Linked DNA regions of Arabidopsis thaliana. The protein of the gene in region 2 purifies or fractionates together with the protein of the main gene of each other region. This does not show direct contact. Each region holds a gene or a part of one and is shown on either strand. Other genes may lie near its edges. The genes, in order: IMD1, AT5G65620 and GSA2.

Region 1 (3,753 bases), about 22 Mb from region 2:
GGCAAGCCTGCCGAAGGTTCCACGAGCTTCAAGGGTCTTGAGGGAAAGAGCGAAGAAGATTAAGACAGATAAGGCTAAACCGATTGAAACGGACGGAACCATAACCGAACCGGCCATTGAGATATATATAGGGGTTATCACGTACGTTTATAGGAAAGTGAAAATGGTTTTATATAGAGAGAAGGGGTGACGGATAAGATAATAGAAAATGGAATTATTAGCTATTTATAAAAATGCAAAACCACGTTAGCAACTATGGATAGACAAAAACTTATTTAGAAAAAAAAACAATTTATGGTGTGTAAACATAAATTAAGAATTGAATCATGCACAAAAAATAAGACAAGCATTTATGAATAGTTTCTAGAAGTGGTGAATCATCCACTGCTATCGTCGATACAACATTTACTAAAGTTTCTATATATAAGTGGAGGGATGATCAGTGTGACCATGCCATGATTTCTAACTTTTTTGAGAGAGCGAGGTTATTATGATAAACATTTAAAATAATACGTGGAACTGAGATGAATGGAAAATAATCTTTATAAAAGAGAAAAAAAAAAATAGAAGATCTCATGATAATAAAAGTACTTCCATATGTTTTCAATGTGAAGAAAAGAATAGTAAAGGAGATACATCCAATAGCTTAGTCTAGAAAAGAGCTGACTAATTTTTTTTAAAAACAAGATCTCTGGTTTGTATATTTGTATCGATTACACAGCCTAGATATATAAAACACAAAACTTGATGGAGACAATTTCATATCCTATATATACACATTAATTTAATGAGTGAATAGTAATAGCAACTAGCAAGGCAATCTAAACAAAATTAAGAAAAGAAAAATGTTAAATTCCTGAGATCTATAATAACTCATAAGCAAAAAATATATTTAAAAAAATCATACAAATGTTGTAATAATATCATTTTGTTTTAATGTGGAGTGATAAAAAGAAGATAGGACGAAAGAAGAAACTGTTAAAGGCGATTGTAGATGCTGTAGGGACGGATAAATGGACTATGACATCAGTTTCCGTTACTTGTTTCTTCTCGAACTCAAAGAAGAAAGAAAAAAAAAAAAAAAATTCTACATCGGTACGCTTTCGTTTCACACCCTGCATGCACACAGTGTCCGGTAGTCAAAAATACAAAAAAAAGAAAAAAAACCTCGAGACATGCTAAATTTGGATAATGATTAATAATTTGGGGGTACACAATGTTCCAAATAATTTATATACAAAGTCTTGCTTTCATATTATTTGTGTGTCCACACTTCAACAATATAGTATTATACTATTATCCCTATCCCCTATGAAGTATGAACACACTTTTTATGATACGTATCATATTCAGAAAACATCAAAAATTGGTCATAACTCTCACGTGGTGTGGTGGATTTGCCTCGCCTTTCGTTTCTGTTTTTTGCAAATATTTAAGAATCTTTGGTCATTTAGGCTTTAATTTAGTTACTTTAAATTTATTTTTGTTATAGAAGTATTATGTTAAAAACAGTTCGTGTTCATCCTTGGACTAACCAGACGATTTGACAAAATCCGAATATCCGATCATAAAATTAAATAATCAGCCGTTATTGTTCCTCTACTACTACGTTTTAACTTTTAAGAACTTCTCCTGGTACTTTGATGGGCTATAAGAGCGGCCCAATATTTCGACTTTAAAATGGGCCAATCTTTGGTAAAGGCCCAATTATAGTGGCGCTTCTTCTTCTTCTTTTCCTAAACAAGCAATGGCATGGTTTAGCTGGTGAGCCAGTTTATAGGTAAAAAGGATAATTTAAGCCATTTAAAAAAACAAATCTTTAATGGCGTAATTCAAAAAACGTGCACACCTATCTAAGTACCAAACTCTTTATGTTATATAACTATTGTGACACAATTTCAAATTTGCTAACTCCCAAAAAAAATGGCGGCGTTTTTGCAAACGAACATCAGTCTGAATGCGATCAAGATCGTCCCGGGGAAATACAGTTCTCTCACCGATCATCAGTTTCGTGCGCCGTATCGAATTAGGTGCGCCGCCGCTTCACCTGGGAAAAAACGGTATAACATCGCTCTGCTTCCCGGAGACGGTATCGGTCCAGAAGTTATCTCTGTTGCTAAGAATGTGCTTCAGAAAGCTGGATCTCTCGAAGGTTCTTTCTCTTTCTCAATGGTTTTTGGAAACAACGAGTGTGTTTGCTTAGCCAGTAGATGATTGTGTCTTTGCTTTTGTATCACAGGACTGGAGTTTGATTTCAAGGAGATGCCTGTCGGAGGAGCAGCCTTGGATTTGGTTGGAGTTCCATTGCCGGAGGAAACTTTCACGGCTGCAAAACTATCTGATGCCATTCTTCTTGGAGCTATTGGAGGGTATGTGTGTGAGTGCTGTTTCTTTAGCAATCTGCTTCCAAATTTATTCTGATCTTGAGGTTTGGATGATTATTGTTCAGGTACAAATGGGACAAGAATGAGAAACATCTGAGACCTGAGATGGCTCTGTTTTACCTTAGAAGAGATCTCAAAGTCTTTGCTAATTTGAGACCTGCTACAGTTTTGCCACAGGTATCTTCGGTTTTGATTTGCTTAGCACTTGAATTTTGCTTCTAGTTGTAAATAAACTCAAATGTTTCTGTTTTGCTTGTTCAGCTAGTTGATGCTTCCACACTGAAGAAAGAAGTAGCAGAAGGTGTTGATATGATGATTGTTAGGGAGCTCACAGGAGGTATTTACTTTGGAGAGCCAAGAGGCATTACGATCAATGAAAATGGCGAAGAAGTCGGCGTTAGTACAGAGATCTACGCTGCTCACGAGGTAATAACCCTTCACACTGTGCTCTGTGACAATATTGGCAATGTATGGATATTAATGCATTGATTTATGTTCTTCAGATTGACAGAATTGCTCGTGTAGCATTCGAGACTGCTAGGAAAAGGCGTGGCAAACTTTGTTCTGTTGACAAAGCCAATGTGTTGGATGTACGTTCTGTTAGTTCACTGAATTGTTTTTCCACTTTTGTGTGTTTTACGAAATGCAAATTTCTTTGTTTCATGTAGGCATCAATATTGTGGAGGAAAAGAGTAACAGCTTTAGCCTCTGAATATCCAGATGTTGAACTATCACATATGTATGTCGATAATGCTGCAATGCAGCTTATTCGTGACCCGAAACAGGTGCTTCTCGCACATATATCAAACTTAGTCGTTGATTAAGCTAACTCAGAAGTGGAACTAGTACTCACGGTGTTTTTAAAACAATGCAGTTTGACACAATCGTTACCAATAACATTTTTGGTGATATATTGTCTGATGAAGCTTCAATGATCACTGGAAGCATTGGAATGCTTCCATCTGCTAGTCTCGGTGAATCGGTAAACAAAATTAACTAACATCTTTCAAGGCTCCTCCTGTTTATAAACTAATGCGAAATGTTAAACTTGTGATGAAATCAGGGACCTGGACTCTTTGAACCTATACATGGTTCAGCACCAGATATAGCTGGACAAGACAAGGCAAACCCATTGGCCACCATTCTCAGCGCGGCGATGCTTCTGAAGTATGGACTTGGAGAAGAAAAGGCTGCAAAGAGGATTGAAGACGCTGTCGTGGATGCTCTGAACAAAGGGTTCAGAACCGGAGACATCTACTCCCCTGGAAATGTATGTGCATGATGATTCTTATCATTTGTTTTGTACAAGTTCGTAACAAAATACTTAAAAAAGTCTTTTGTGTTTTGAAAATGCAGAAACTGGTGGGAT
Region 2 (3,753 bases):
GGTCGCTAGAGCTGAATTTGATTTGAGGGAGATGGAAAGAGACAAGGTTAATGATTTTGTGGTTAATGGCAAGATTAACAAGTTAATTAAGTTATTATCAAATAGAGGTTCGTAGCGATGGAGGAAGAGAGACAGATAAGCTTTTAAGTAGACAAGATTCTGATGCATAAAGATGTACAACTTGTTCTTGGAAGATATGCTATGAGACTCTTTTAGTGATGTCCTCATATTTCTTTGCCTTAATCCCTTTTTCTAAACCGTCAAAAGATTCATGGTTTGGAAACTTGCAATAGCCTCTGGTTGGTTGGTTGGTTGTTTCAAACGTTACACTCACAAATATAACACAATTTAAAAACTAAACAACGGTCAAGAAAAGAGGGTTTATTTTAAGAGTCCATTCAACAGATCACTAGCACTGAACTTTGTTTAAATATTCTTTTAAATCTATGTGGACCTCCCTGTTTTAGGATCCCATATAGTAACTTTACGAGAGCATAACGTAGACGAACCAACACTAACCACAAGTATAAGAGCATTGTTCGATTCAATTACGCCTATTTGGTACCAGAGATGTTAAAGTGCAACATGGAAACATGATTGAATTTTTCTCAAGCTAAGAAGGTCTAAACAAATGCTAAAAGAAAACGAAACCAACAAAACTGTAGAGTGTAGAAAAAAACATAGGGTACACATGTTATAAACCAAAACTATTGGGGTATATACTTAAATAAATAAAAGTACACGATAGGGAACATTTGTAATACACAGAACTTAGGGGTGCATACAAAAATAAAATTGAAAAAACAGAGCATAGATCAGTGATCCGGACTCTGTTTTGGAAGATCTCTAAAAAGCTTAGGATCATCATCGGCATCGCGCAGATAGAAACCATCATCGAAATTCTGCGAATAGCTCACAGCATCGTAGTGAAACGTAACTAACGTTTTCGATTTATTATTCTCCAATCCGCAACTTCTAACCAATAATAATCTTCTCATCAAATCCCTTAACTTCGGACTAGGTCTTGTCTTGTTGTTGTGGTTACTGATTCGAGCGTACTCTGTTTCTTCTGTATGGATGAGACAAGATAACGGCGAACTCAAGCATCGACCGGTGGAGTACGATTGTCTACGGTTGTCGGCGAGAACTCTATCCATTTCTTGCAAAAATAAAAGAGAGATTGTTTTATTGATTGAGTGAGAAATATGGGGTTTATAATCGACGAAAGAGTTAGAGCTAACAATAAATGAATTACCAAGCAAAGTTGGAAAATAATGTAGATTTTGGCTGGTTATGGTTAAGCGGTCCAATCATAATTCTCGTTTTTTCTTTGGCAGCTCATAATTTCTCATTTATGGGAAGCATTCATTTATTGAAACTTGGAAGTTTTCACTAGTCATTAGTCAACATTTTTTGGTTGTAATGTACCTACCTATCTTCATTTGGTAGTAAAATTGTGGTACAATGTCAATGTGAAGTTATTAGTTTTAACTCCTGTTTGGTTTCATCAAATGATATAAATTTCATTGTTTCTTTTGTTTTTAAAAGAAGCGTAAAGTTAAAACATATTTGGTTTAGTGAACAAGGGATCAGACTTGCCAGATTACGTGGTCGTAGTATTTGGGGAACAACACACAGAGCTACTTCACTATCACACTATATCTTGAACGTGTCGTGTTTGTTCTTGGGATGCTCTCTTCGAACAAGTTATTTATTATGTATCCGTGACTCGTGAACTTGTGAGGCCCATTACTTCATAACAGTTTTCGGTAAAAGAAAAAGGACGAAAAAGAAGAGTTAAAAAACGCTAGAAGGAGGGGTCGAACCTCCGACCTTGTGGTTAACAGCCACACGCTCTAACCAACTGAGCTATTCCAGCTTTTGTTAACTATTTCAAAAACAATAAATATATTCGTAAACAGATGTTTTAATTTCAATTTGACTTGACAAGATTACCCTTTGGCACATCGATTAACATATCATCGACTTTGGAACCTCACAACATAATCGCATGTAGTCACACTTAGTCAAATCCAAACCCAAAAAATCTCAAAGAAAATAAGAAAAAATAAAAATAAAAATGAAGAGAATAAGAATAATGGCAACGCTTGTAATAGCAAACATGTTAATGGCGACTCCAACGTCTCGAGCCTCTCTCAATCTTCTTCGTCGATCGCCAAAACCCAAATATTTCTCATCTTCTTCTTGTCATTTTCGTCCCTCAACTTTTCGTAAATCATATCCTTGCCCCATCTGGTCTTCTTCTTTCTCTTTTTGTCTCCCTCCTCCTAGATCCACCACTTCCACCTCTCTCTCCTCCTCCTCTTTCCGCCCCTTCTCCTCTCCTCCGTCCATGTCTTCCGCCGCCGCTGCCGCCGTGGAATCCGTCGTCTCCGACGAGACTCTTTCCTCGAATCCTCTCTTGCAGGACTTCGATTTCCCTCCGTTTGATTCCGTTGATGCCAGTCATGTTCGTCCTGGGATTCGTGCTCTATTGCAGCATCTCGTATGTTCACACCTTCTTCTTCGTTTTTCTTCACAGATTCATGTATTTTTGATTCGATTGTTATAGCCTCTTTGATTGATTTTCAGGAAGCTGAATTGGAGGAGCTAGAGAAATCTGTGGAGCCAACATGGCCAAAACTGGTGGAACCATTAGAGAAAATCGTTGATCGGTTAACTGTTGTTTGGGGAATGATCAATCACCTTAAGGCTGTCAAGGACACACCTGAGCTACGTGCTGCCATCGAAGACGTTCAGGTTGAATAACTAATCATGCTTGTTTTTTGTGTGTTAGTTCAGTGAGTTGGGGGATTTATATCTTGTTTTACTTAACTACATTGGTCTTATGCAGCCAGAGAAAGTGAAGTTCCAGCTCAGGTTGGGGCAAAGCAAGCCTATTTACAATGCCTTTAAAGCTATTCGTGAATCTCCTGATTGGTCATCGCTCAGTGAAGCTCGTCAACGCTTAGTAGAAGGCAAGTAGTTTCTTATTGGAACATTAAAACAACGTTTCTTTCATGTGATAACTTTGGTTTCAGTATGAATTTCAGCTCAAATAAAGGAGGCGGTTCTCATTGGTATTGCTCTTGATGATGAAAAGAGAGAAGAGTTTAATAAAATTGAACAGGTTTGATGTAAATCAGTTTACTTGGTAAATTGGTTCTATGTTTGTCACAACTTTGCTTATGCTTACGCGCTGTTTTTTTCTTGATTGTAGGAACTCGAAAAACTTTCCCATAAGTTTTCTGAGAATGTTTTGGATGCAACAAAGAAATTTGAAAAGTTGATAACAGACAAGAAAGAGATCGAGGGATTGCCTCCATCTGCTCTTGGGCTATTCGCACAAGCAGCTGTCTCCAAGGTATCAATATTAACTGAAAGATATATAAAGTTCCATGTTTCGTTATTTTTTTAGTAAGGTTTGTTAATTTTTGCTTCTTGATATGTGACACTAGGGCCATGAAAATGCAACTGCTGAGAATGGACCATGGATCATTACACTGGATGCTCCTAGTTATCTTCCTGTCATGCAACATGCTAAAAACCGTGCTCTGCGTGAGGAAGTCTACCGTGCTTACCTATCTCGTGCCTCTTCTGGCGATTTGGATAATACGGCAATTATTGACCAGATTTTGAAGCTTCGCTTGGAAAAAGCTAAGCTTCTTGGTTACAACAATTACGCTGAGGTAGAGTCATCAACCTAAGTAAAACTGTTCTTTTTTCTTTCTAATTGGCTTAATGCGACTTTCT
Region 3 (3,753 bases), on a different chromosome or scaffold from region 2:
GTTTATTGCAGAGACAAAGGAACGTCGTTTTGTTTGTTGAAACAAATTTAAACCCTAAATCCCCAAATCGATTTATTATCTGCGATTTTGAGGTCAAGGTGGGTCTGTGATTTTGAGATAATGAAATCGATTTGGGGATTTAGGGTTTAAATTTGTTTCAAGACAAAACGACGATGTTTTGTCTCTGCAATAAACGACGTTGTTTTGTTCTAACAGAGCAAATAAACGAGACATTAACGCCGTAAATTTTTTCTGTTAACCTATTTAACGACATGACTCAAATGGCAAGTCAACAAACACTTTGTCATTTATTTCGAAAGTCAACAAAAACTTTACGATTTATTTATCTTCCGTGAAGTTCAAAATTAAATCGTCCCAAATTTGAAAGACATTTTTCCCGAATATCATTTATGAATTATGATACAATGTTACTAAAAAAATCATTTTTATGTCTCATGCATGTAGTAACGAACACACACTAATATAGTAACAAATGATCAGACGTTACTCTTAAAAACTAGAGTGGTCATCATGTTCAAACTTTAAGGTACATTAGACCATCTAATTAGAACCATGCGTAATTAGTATTGTTAAGTAACCAAAAGAAATAACGACGATCAATAGTAAGTTTTTTTTTTTTGTGTGTGTAACCAATAGGTAGTACTTAAGTTAAATGTATATTATTTCATTCCTATTTCTTTAAATTGGTATCGATTCATTCTAAAATGTTGCATGGATTTTTTTTAACATCTTTAGATAAAGTTTTATGTTCCGTTTTTTTTTTCAGGTGACAAATTTCAAATGTGGGGGTTTTGTCCTAGGACTAGGCATGAGCCACAACATGTTCGATGGAGTCGCCGCTGCGGAGTTCCTCAACTCGTGGTGCGAGATGGCCAAGGGTCTTCCTTTATCCGTCCCACCATTCTTGGACCGTACGATTCTCCGGTCACGAAACCCTCCCAAAATCGAGTTCCCACACAATGAATTCGACGAAATTGAAGATATTTCCGACACCGGAAAAATCTACGATGAAGAAAAACTCATCTACAAATCATTTCTTTTCGAACCCGAAAAGCTTGAGAAGCTCAAGATCATGGCGATTGAAGAAAATAACAATAATAAGGTATCAACATTTCAAGCCTTAACCGGGTTTCTTTGGAAATCAAGATGCGAAGCTCTACGGTTTAAACCGGACCAACGGGTTAAGCTTCTGTTTGCGGCGGATGGACGGTCAAGATTCATCCCACGTCTCCCGCAAGGATATTGCGGGAACGGGATTGTGTTAACCGGTTTGGTGACATCATCGGGAGAATTAGTTGGGAACCCTCTTTCTCACTCGGTGGGTTTGGTCAAGAGACTGGTGGAGCTGGTTACGGACGGCTTCATGCGGTCGGCTATGGACTACTTCGAGGTGAACCGGACACGGCCGAGTATGAACGCGACACTTTTGATTACATCCTGGTCAAAATTGACATTGCATAAACTGGATTTCGGTTGGGGAGAACCGGTTTTCTCTGGACCGGTTGGTTTACCAGGGAGGGAAGTGATCTTGTTCTTACCAAGTGGTGATGATATGAAGAGTATCAATGTGTTTCTTGGCCTTCCTACTTCAGCTATGGAAGTGTTTGAAGAGCTTATGAAGATCTGAAAAAGAACATACATTTTCATAATCAAATTATGATATATTCTACCAAATTATAAGCAAAGGAAAATTATAATCTAGTCATTATTTATACATGTTATATTTGAATTCACGTTTGTATCCATTACAAAAATTTATGTAATTCGCAGAAAATATATATATGTCAAATTAAGTTATCGGACCGGATCGGGTCAAAGAAACCGGATTGGTTAACAAAGTCAAACAAACAAATATTGACTTGAGTTTCAGATTCCAGTAAAATCAAACCGGATCGGGTCTGAATTTAAACCACCGGGTCGGCTCCATCTAAAATCTGAAGATCATCTCCGCCTTATCTTGTTGACTATCTCTGTACTACTTACGAGCGCAAGTGAGAGAGTAACAGAGAAACGTAGAGATATAGCAAAATGGCTGCGACGCTTACTGGATCAGGGATTGCTCTAGGGTTTTCGTGCTCCGCAAAGTTCTCTAAGAGAGCTTCTTCGTCGTCCAACCGTCGCTGCATCAAGATGTCGGTTTCGGTAGAGGAGAAGACGAAGAAATTCACTCTTCAGAAATCTGAGGAAGCTTTCAATGCTGCGAAGGTTAGGCTTTTCAATTTCCATGAATTCAGTCAATAAGAAATGTTTCTTCAGATTGATTACGCCTTGATGTTCTGTTGCTTTGGTTTTGTGGGATTTGATCATATTTTTGGTTAAAGTGATTATCTTTGTTACCCTTCAAGGAACATTGCTAACAAAATAAGATTACTTGAGATAGAATCATAATCTGAGATAAAGTTTTTGTTTTTATTGGTTTCATTCTGTTCTGATTATTGAAATTGGTTTGGTTCCTTTGTGTAGAACTTAATGCCTGGAGGTGTGAACTCACCTGTACGTGCTTTCAAATCTGTTGGTGGACAACCAGTGGTGATGGATTCTGCAAAGGGCTCACGAATAAGAGACATTGATGGAAATGAATACATTGACTATGTTGGATCTTGGGGACCTGCTATAATTGGTCATGCTGATGATGAGGTTTGTTTCTTTCCAGTTTTGATGATTTTTAGATAGCTGAAAGTTTAGTAGTTGATACGGTGATGTGTCTAGTGCAGGTTCTTGCTGCTTTGGCTGAGACAATGAAGAAAGGAACAAGCTTTGGTGCTCCTTGTCTCTTAGAGAATGTTCTTGCTGAGATGGTGATTTCAGCTGTTCCAAGTATTGAAATGGTTCGGTTTGTTAACTCCGGTACAGAGGCATGTATGGGTGTGCTACGTCTTGCTCGTGCCTTCACAGGGAAACAAAAGTTCATCAAGTTTGAAGGTTGTTATCATGGTCATGCAAACTCTTTCCTTGTCAAAGCAGGTAGTGGTGTAGCTACTTTGGGTCTACCTGACTCGCCTGGGGTCCCCAAAGCAGCTACTTCAGATACTTTAACAGCTCCATACAATGATATTGCTGCTGTTGAGAAGCTTTTTGAGGCAAACAAAGGAGAGATTGCTGCCATCATTCTTGAACCTGTTGTTGGTAACTCGGGTTTTATTACACCTAAACCAGAGTTCATTGAGGGAATACGCCGGATCACTAAAGACAATGGTGCTCTTCTTATTTTCGATGAAGTCATGACTGGTTTTCGTTTAGCCTATGGTGGAGCTCAAGAATACTTTGGAATCACACCTGACTTAACAACTCTTGGGAAAATCATCGGTGGTGGTCTTCCTGTGGGAGCATACGGTGGAAGAAGAGACATCATGGAAATGGTAAAGCTAGAGTTGTTAACAATTGAACCGAATAATCTTTTGAATTTGCTGCAAGAGATTGAGAAAGTCCTGATCCTTTATCACTCATGTCTTTTTGCAGGTTGCACCCGCAGGACCGATGTATCAAGCTGGTACGCTAAGTGGTAATCCGTTGGCTATGACAGCGGGTATACACACGCTGAAGCGGTTAAGTCAGCCAGGGACATATGAATACTTAGACAAGATCACAAAAGAGCTTACAAATGGGATACTAGAAGCCGGGAAGAAAACCGGGCATGCGATGTGTGGCGGTTACATAAGCGGGATGTTCGGTTTCTTCTTCACGGAAGGACCCGTCTATGATTTCTCGGATGCAAAGAAGAGTGATACAGAG

Evidence for each region.
Region 1: the proteins of AT5G65620 (region 2) and IMD1 fractionate together in Arabidopsis thaliana (co-fractionation; one large-scale study listed by BioGRID). This does not show direct contact.
Region 3: the proteins of AT5G65620 (region 2) and GSA2 fractionate together in Arabidopsis thaliana (co-fractionation; one large-scale study listed by BioGRID). This does not show direct contact.

The regions. Positions count from the first base shown.
Region 1 is NC_003076.8:4,574,297-4,578,049, forward strand, and holds the start of IMD1 (isopropylmalate dehydrogenase 1), read left to right. Parts: upstream 1-1,826; 5' UTR 1,827-1,923; coding exon 1,924-2,152; intron 2,153-2,239; coding exon 2,240-2,369; intron 2,370-2,449; coding exon 2,450-2,561; intron 2,562-2,645; coding exon 2,646-2,810; intron 2,811-2,887; coding exon 2,888-2,974; intron 2,975-3,052; coding exon 3,053-3,169; coding exon of another isoform or gene 3,170-3,171; intron 3,172-3,258; coding exon 3,259-3,366; intron 3,367-3,447; coding exon 3,448-3,654; coding exon of another isoform or gene 3,655-3,666; exon of another isoform or gene 3,667-3,740; coding exon 3,741-3,753. Other genes in the region: MPL1 (Myzus persicae-induced lipase 1), read right to left, coding at 1-117. UniProt on the Arabidopsis thaliana protein: Involved in both glucosinolate and leucine biosynthesis; catalyzes the oxidative decarboxylation step in both leucine biosynthesis (primary metabolism) and methionine chain elongation of glucosinolates (specialized metabolism).
Region 2 is NC_003076.8:26,219,829-26,223,581, forward strand, and holds the start of AT5G65620 (Zincin-like metalloproteases family protein), read left to right. Parts: upstream 1-2,000; 5' UTR 2,001-2,080; coding exon 2,081-2,506; intron 2,507-2,592; coding exon 2,593-2,760; intron 2,761-2,854; coding exon 2,855-2,978; intron 2,979-3,053; coding exon 3,054-3,130; intron 3,131-3,220; coding exon 3,221-3,364; intron 3,365-3,458; coding exon 3,459-3,689; intron 3,690-3,753. Other genes in the region: AT5G65610 (uncharacterized protein), read left to right, coding at 1-107, 468-524, 769-933, 1,022-1,200; AT5G65613 (uncharacterized protein), read right to left, coding at 816-1,157. UniProt on the Arabidopsis thaliana protein: Oligopeptidase degrading short peptides from 8 to 23 amino acid residues. Plays a role in the degradation of transit peptides and of peptides derived from other proteolytic events. Does not exhibit a strict cleavage pattern. Binds salicylic acid.
Region 3 is NC_003074.8:18,047,648-18,051,400, forward strand, and holds the start of GSA2 (glutamate-1-semialdehyde 2,1-aminomutase 2), read left to right. Parts: upstream 1-1,923; 5' UTR 1,924-2,049; coding exon 2,050-2,226; intron 2,227-2,484; coding exon 2,485-2,658; intron 2,659-2,735; coding exon 2,736-3,380; intron 3,381-3,480; coding exon 3,481-3,753. Other genes in the region: DCF (HXXXD-type acyl-transferase family protein), read left to right, coding at 788-1,648. UniProt on the Arabidopsis thaliana protein: Transaminase converting glutamate 1-semialdehyde (GSA) to 5-aminolevulinate (ALA). Involved in the biosynthesis of tetrapyrroles.